2 linked regions of the Cricetulus griseus genome follow. The protein of the gene in region 2 interacts with the protein of the main gene of each other region in a biochemical or structural test. Links are inferred from orthologs where the notes say so. Each region holds a gene or a part of one and is shown on either strand. Other genes may lie near its edges.

Evidence for each region. The genes of interacting proteins can lie anywhere in the genome.
Region 1: of the proteins of Chek2 (region 2) and Cdc25a, one has a biochemical effect on the other in vitro, tested with the Homo sapiens proteins (5 studies listed by BioGRID, with this or other methods). The link is inferred for Cricetulus griseus from reciprocal best matches to the Homo sapiens genes CHEK2 and CDC25A.

The regions. Positions count from the first base shown.
Region 1 is NC_048597.1:217,357,672-217,361,317, reverse strand, and holds part of Cdc25a (M-phase inducer phosphatase 1), read right to left. Parts: intron 1,981-3,646; coding exon 1,846-1,980; intron 1,360-1,845; coding exon 1,285-1,359; intron 1,145-1,284; coding exon 965-1,144; intron 1-964. UniProt on the Homo sapiens protein: Tyrosine protein phosphatase which functions as a dosage-dependent inducer of mitotic progression. Directly dephosphorylates CDK1 and stimulates its kinase activity. Also dephosphorylates CDK2 in complex with cyclin-E, in vitro.
Region 2 is NC_048597.1:90,621,439-90,625,562, reverse strand, and holds the start of Chek2 (serine/threonine-protein kinase Chk2), read right to left. Parts: upstream 2,845-4,124; 5' UTR 2,765-2,844; intron 1,676-2,764; 5' UTR 1,623-1,675; coding exon 1,316-1,622; intron 954-1,315; exon of another isoform or gene 684-953; intron 1-683. Other genes in the region: iron-sulfur cluster co-chaperone protein HscB, read left to right, coding at 3,089-3,321. UniProt on the Homo sapiens protein: Serine/threonine-protein kinase which is required for checkpoint-mediated cell cycle arrest, activation of DNA repair and apoptosis in response to the presence of DNA double-strand breaks.

The DNA of each region.
Region 1 (3,646 bases), about 130 Mb from region 2:
CACATGTGCACACCCCCACACACAAATGTTTAAAAAGACCAATAAAATGGTGGGTGGTGGCCGGGCGTTGGTGGCTCTCGCCTTTAATCCCAGCACTTGGGAGGCAGAGACAAGTGGATCTCTGAGTTCGAGGCCAGCCTGGTCTCCAGAGTCAGTGCCAGGATAGGCTCCAAAGCTACTCAGAGAAACCATGTTTCGAAACAAACAAACAAACAAACAAACAAACAAAAAATCCAAACCCAAACAAAAACTCAGGCATGGCTGTGATTCCAGCACTAGGGACATCAAGACAGAGGAATCAAAAGTTCCGAGGCCACCATAAACCACATAGCACCAGGCAGCCCAGGCCACAAGAGAACCTGCTCCTAAAAGATAAAAACAACCATCAGAACACAGTCGGGTGAAATAACATTTGCCAACTGTCCCAGTATTAGAATGGTAAAAAGCAAAAAGATGGTGAAACAAGCAGAATATGTAGCACTCTGGAGGCAGAAGCAGACAGATCACTGAGTATGAGGCTAATCTGATCTATACAGTGAGTTCTAGGACTGCCAGGGCTACATAGTGAGACAGTCTCAAAACAATAAACCCGCCCCCAAAAGTAGCTACAATGAATGTAGCTTAAAAATAAACAGGAGCCAGTGAGAAGGTGCAACAACTTAAGGTCTCTTTGCTGCTGAGTTCTAAGCCTGGGAGCCACATGGTAAAAAGAGAAAGGTCTCCAAGTCCTACTCTGACATCCACATGTGCACTGTTTATGTGCCCCTACCCTCAAATAACAAAACCAAAGAGGAAAATAGGAGTGGACAAGGAGCTTGTTGACCAAGTTCTTGAATAGGTTCAATCCTCAGCAACAGGCAACCCCAAACCAAACCAAAAACATCTCATAATAGGACTGCTGAGATGGTTCAACAATTAAGAACACTTTGTTTTTGTAGACCAAAGGAGAACTTGCAAAACTAACCTCTTGGGTTGGCTCTAGATTATCTGCCTTTACAGGACTGGCCATGCTCTTCCTCCGCTTTGTATTTCCTCGAGGGGACTCGTCACGAGAGCGCTCTGTTCTCTTCAACATTGCCCGAGTGCTGGAGCTGCTGCTGGAGCTGCACGGGGAAGAGGAGTCAAGCAGCCTGCATCGATTGCCCTTAGGGTAAGAGACAGAGCCACCTCGATTACAATCTGATCACTTGAATGACAAGTCCTAGATTATTCCAGTCAACATAGTTATGGACTACTTTGTTCAGCGGCCAACTACTGAAAACTCCACATACTGGAGTAACTTACAAGGTTTGTAGGTCTTCTCATGACAAGGGGAGCTGTCCAGAGGCTCGCCATGCACGAAGGGGTCTCCTCATCATTCTAGAGCAAGAGAAAAAACTGTTTTTAAATAGATCCAGTGGAGGGGCTGGGAAGAAGAAAAGGACCCAGTTGAGATTAATAAATGCTTTGCATTTAACTCTCCTAAAGAGTGCCAGACAAGCCTGAATACATTTTTTTGTTTTGTTTTGTTTTTGGGGAGGAGCCTTACTTGTAGCACAGGCTGGCCTAATTTGTGGCTATGGCAATCCTGTTCAGCATCCTAAATGTTGAGATTACAGGCATTACCACCAGGGAAGGCTAGCACCTCCTTTTTTGGTACAAGAGATTGAACCTGAGGCCTTGCGCACCCTAAGCACACATTCCGCCACTACTCCCCCTGCAATAGGATTTAGTCAAGCAGGGAAGAGTCCCAATAATCTCACAAATCAATCAGCCAGCTGAGACTCCAGGAGCTGTTTTTACTTAGGAGCCTTCTCCAGTGGTAGCTAGAATGAGTAGGCACACCCTCACACCCACAGATGATACCTTCAGATTCTCTCCATCGAGAAGGTCTATGAAGCCATCATCCTCATCAGACAAAGTGGCTTTCACAGGGGACTGGGATGTAAAAAGAGGACTGAAATGTCCTGATTCATTGTTATCACTTTCATTTGAAGATAGCTGAAAGACAAAATTAGCAAGAACTCTAGTCCATTTTGATTTGCTTAGCTGGATTGCTCAAAAAAAGAGATAAGCTTGTACACCATGTGGGAACCTGGCATCCTCAGAGATCAGAAGAAGACATTGGATTCTCTAGCTCCTGAGCTCTTACTTTGTTTTTCCCTTTTAAGACGGGGTTTCTTTTGCTGCCTAGGCAGTCCTGGATGGAACTCATTCTGTAAACCAGGCCTCAAATTCAGAGATGAGCCTGCCTCTGGGGTTAAAGTTGGCACCACCACTGCCTCTGAGCTCTTCTTGCAGTCTAACTGCAAGCTGTGGCAGTGCACAATCTGTTGGAAATACCAGTCTCTACCATAAAATAGTATACCAAAGAAAGTTGAACAATACCTATGTAAATCCCATTCAGACAGATGGAAACAAAGAGAACTTGTTCTAAAGCCTTTCCCAGTCCTTTCTTACTTTTGGAGACAGGGTGAGCCAACACTTGTGAACCTTTCTTCCACCCCCTCAAATGTTGAGATCACAAGTGCACACTGGATTAAATGACAGCTGGGGCTACAGAGATGGTTTGGAGGTTAACAGCAAGCATGGCTCTTGCAGAAGCTCAAAGTCTGATTTGATTCCAAGTATCCACCTTAGACAGCTCTGTTTTCTGTGATCCTAAACCTCTGGCCTCCTCAGCCATCTGTACTCATAAACAGCCTACTCACTCCATAATTAAAAGTAAAAATGATTTAAATAAAACACAGCTGCCCAATTTTAAATTGAGAGATTATAATGTCTCAGACACTAAGACAAAATCTTTACAACTATAATCTCATTTAAGTCACAGCACATACTATTTTAGTCAATCCTTTTTTTTCTTTGAGATTAAATATTCCTAGACTCCACCCTGTTTTAGCCGCCGGAGGAGCTGGGACTATGTGTACCAACATACCCAAAGAATCCTTTGATTTTTGTTTAATAAAAGGAAACTTATGCTTAAGGTTACCAAGATCATTTACCTCACCTATTTGACACCCAAACCTGGAAAATAAGTTGGCTGTGGTGGCAAACACCTGTAATCCCAGAGACAGGAGCAGTTTTCAACTGCATAGCAAATTTGAAGCTAGCCTGGGATTTTAAGAGATCCTGTCTCAAAAAAAAAAAAAAAAAAAGCAAATAAGAATCCCAACCCAAACAAAAGCTAAATCAATAAAATTTTCACTGGCTTTTTAAAAGTCTGCATCCTTGGCTGGAAAGATGGCTCAGAGGTTAAAAACTCTGGCTGCTATTCCAGAGGACCTGGGTTCAAATCCCAGCAACCACCCTTAATGAGATCTGGTACCCTAGTCTGGCCTGCAGGGATAAATAAATTAAAAAGTCTGCACCTGGGGGGATGGAGGGAGGGGGGAGGGAGAGGGAACTGGGATTGACATGTAAAACAATCTTGTTTCTAATACAAATAAAAGAAAAATCTGAAAAAAAAGTCTGCACCTCAGCATCTGTGCCTTTAATGATCAAGCAATCATAGAAAATCATGGCATTCTGATCCCCAAGCATCCATCAAATATATTCTATTTCAGATATAATCTCAAACTGTTATCATGAACTGGGGAATCTACAGTTAAATTCTGTCTCTTAACACATCCTTTGACAAATAAATCAACTTTTCTAATGAAACTTT
Region 2 (4,124 bases):
CACCTTCAGCTGATAGCCTATATAAAGGACATGGAAGAAGGAAGTTTGTTCTCTTTCTTGCTTGCTCTCACTCTTACTGGCAAGGGCATTCCTTCGCCGGCAGTAAAGCCTACTTCAACAGGATCATGGTGTATACTGAACACCAGCTGAGACATCCAGCTTTATGAACTGAACAAGTAATTGCTAGATTCTTGGACCTCCCATGGGTAGCCATTGTTGGACTAGCTGGACCACAGCCTGTAAACCACTAGAATAAGAATGAATGTATAGGGGGCAGGAGAAATGACTCAGCGGTTAAGGGCACTGACTGCTCTTCCACAGGACCCTTGTTCAATTCCCAGCACCCACATGGCAGCTCACAAGGGTCTGTAACTCCAAGATCTGACACCCTCACACAGATATACATGCAGGTAAAACACCAATACACACAAAATAAATAATTTTTTAAAAAATGAAATATAATAATGAATATCAGTTCTAACAGTTTTGTTCCTCTAGAGAACCCTGAATAATACAAGTATCTTTCAGAAATAGCTCTGGATCAACCGGATATCCACATACAAATTATAAATTTGAACCAGGTATGCCTGGTATGTGTAATCTCAGCTACTCAGTAGGCTGAGACAAGAAGTTCGATGCAAGTTCAAGGCCATGAGGAACTACATAGTGAATTGCAAACCTACCTAGGCTGCAGAATTTCTTGTCTCAAAAATAATGAGTAGCCAGTCGGTGGTGGCACATGCCGTTAATCCCAGCACTCGGAGCCCAGCCTGGTCTACAGAGCGAGTTCCAGGACAGCCAAGACTATACAGAGAAACCCTGTCTCGTAGAGCCTGATAATATATTCGTATAAAGCCAGCACTTGGGAAATAGAAGCAGGAAGATCAAGAGTTCAAAGTCAAGCTCAGCTACATAGTGAGATCAAGGCCAGCCCAGGCTATGAGACCTTTTCTCTGAAAAAAAATGAAAGAAAAAGATAAATTTTGAGGCCAGCCTATGAAATTTCAAAAAATTCTATTTGATAATAAAAATAAGGTAGCTAGGGATGGAACAACAGATGTAGCTCACTCTACCATGCATAAGGCCTAAGTCTGATTCTTTGCACGAGGATCAACCAGGAGGAGAAATAACAGTGAGTACATGGCAGGTAATGGCAGCCCAGGCACTCCACCACAGCCTCCACTTTTTTTTTTTTTTTTAACTTTTTTCTCACCTCTAACCAGTTATAGGGGCCCTGAGATTTCTGTTGCAACAATCTAACCACCACCCCTGTTTCCCTGAACAATACATTATACTATATAACAAAATGCCTTACCCAGATTGGAGAATCCTTCCTGAAGAGACCATAACCTAGCCCAAGGGGCAGGACCAGGCTCCTCAGGTTCTGGGTCCTCAGGAATAGAGCAGAGCTCCTGGGTGGACACTGTCTCTAAAGAGCTCAGTGTCCCAGAGCTGGAATGAGAGGACTGGCTGGAGGATGACACTGTGCCGCTAGAGGAACTGGATGTGCCTTGAGACTGTGAGGAGAGGTCGTGTAACTGAGAGGAAGTGCCTTGTGACTGAGTGAAGCCACCCTGGGACTGTGAACAGGAACCACTGCTGTGGGACTGCTGATTCTTCATATCCGACCTCAAAAACAGAGTCCAACAATGAGGGGAGATTCAAGGAGCGAGGCCTAAAATTCAAGAACGAGGAATGGAAGCTGGAGAGATGATGCAGCAGCAAAGAACAGAACTATTCTTGTAGAACCCAAAAGTTCAGTAAGTTCCCAGCACCCAAGTCTGGAAGCTCAAGATTGCCTGTGACTCCAACTCCAGTGGGTTTGAAGTCCTCTCGTGGCCCCTGAAATCACTTGCGCTCACGTGAGCATACTCCTGCACACGTAACATATAATTAAAAATAAATCTTTACCCAAAGCTAAGTGAAGAATGTGAATATAACTCAATAGTAGACGCAAAGTCCTGGATTCCATGCCGAGTACCACCAAACATACGAAGCGGAGAACGGGTATACTTAGGGACTGGAGAGACATCGCGGCGGTTAAGAAGAGCACGTTGCTTTTTTGAGTTCAGTTCCCAGCACCCACATCCAGGAGCATACAAATGCCAGTAGTTCCAGCTCTTTGGGAATGCACTGCCCTCTGCTGGCCTCCCTGCGCACTGTACAGACTTACACAGACACATGATTTTTAAAAATAAATTTTTTATAAAAGGAACAGGCATATTATGATCACCTCAGAAGGGCAGAATCATTGATGAGTTTTTTTAAAAAAAGTGACCACAGCAAAATTTCAGGATCACGAACAGAATTTATCGGCCAATTACACAGCGCTAGCGTGTAGAGAAGCTGAGAATGGCTGGTTGCTTCCTATCCACTCCTTGCCACCCTACCCCACACACTTCCTTACGTACTCACTCCAGTTCCTGCAGAGCCTAGCAGCGATGTTTGTGGTTCTCAGTAAATATTTGGGAAGAATGAATCGGGGACCTGGCATGATCACTAACATTTATAATACTCGCTATGAAACTACTTCGCTCTCTGGCATTGAAGAGCCCAACTCTGTGCCTTCCCATGTCTCAGCTTGTAAATAACAAGAGAATGTCCCCCTCGAAGAGCAGCTAAAAAACAAGGAAGAGTCGCCTGCGTGCAGAGCTCTCTTGCACACACAGACCAGGCGGAAGCTGCGAAGGGCCCCTTTGCAGAAGACCCTGAGACCCGATTCGAATCCTCAGACAGGCAAGAAAAATTTCCCGCTAAAACTCACCGCGAAAGAACACCTGGAGCCACAAACACCCCAGACCGCCGCAACCAGTGGTGTGGCGCTAAACCTACCCATGCAAACTCCACCCTCAGCCAATCAAAACGCCTTTCTGCTCGGCACGACCAATAAGAAGACCCGAATGTGGCTGCCATGCGTTAGCCTCAAGGCTTGCTGGGAGTTGTAGTTTAGGATGCAGAACGGGACTCGGCATCCTGTTTTACCGAGGCTGATCCCGCCTCCTCGGCTCACTAAACCAATCAGCAACGAGTCACTCTTGCTTCCTTTCCCTCGAGTCCCTCGACCCAGGCCAGACGGGCGGCTGTCCGGATGTGGGGCTGCCGGGCCCGTGCTTTGGTTTGCGTGTGGGAGGTGCGACTAGCTGGGTTCCTGGGAAGGAGACTGCTGAGCAGCAACGCTGCCTCGGGCAAGAGCAATGCGGGCCAGTGCTGGAACTGCGGCAGCGCTGGGGGTGTGGAGAGTGGGGATGGGTTCTTCTGCGAACACTGCCGCGCCTTGCAGCCACCTGACCCGACTCGGGACTACTTCAGCCTCATGAATTGGTACGCGCGGCGCAGAGTTATGGGAGGGCGAGTCGGTCTTGGGGAGCTCGGATGGCCGAGTTAGTTAAATTAGGCAGGCGTTACCCTGGTGCTTACGACTTGGGTCCTCGCCGGCGGGCCTGTAATTTCCAGCCAGCTGGAAGACTGAGGCAGGAGGACCACGGTTCAAGGCCAGTTTAAGCAACTTACCGAGACTCATTCAAAACGAACAAAGCAAAAAAAAAAAAAAAAAAAGTATATAGGTCATTTGTATAATATAGGACCTGCTGAGATTTTAGGAGTTTGCCTGAGAGGAAGAGGAAATCAAGTTACAGACTGGAAAGAAGGTAAGGGTGGAGGCGGGGATGAAAGCGTAAACTTGCAGATGCCTGCAATGTAAGCACTTGGGAAGTGGAAGTGGGAGGTTAAGGAATTCAGGACTAGCCTCTGCTACAAAGGCTTTGTTTTTAAACATCAGCAACAACAAAAGGGAACAGGCTCAAGTTTACAGTATAGGGAGGTTTGAGGGGCGGGCTCCTGGAAAAGGGGATTCCAGAGGCTGAACTCCAGGGAGGAAAAAGGAGCAGAGTTTGTTTTTCAACTTGTAGTTCTGACTCTACCTCCCCAGTGCTAGGATTAAAAGCATCTGGACTAAAGTAGGAGGATCCCCAGTAGGTGCCCAACCACAAAAATAGGGAACATTCTCATCTCAAATAAGTAAATATTTTAAAGGAGACAATAAAAATAAAACAAGTCGTCTGTGTTGATGTATGCCTGTGAGCTCAGAGGGTGAGGCAGGATTACAGATTTGAGGGCAACCCGAG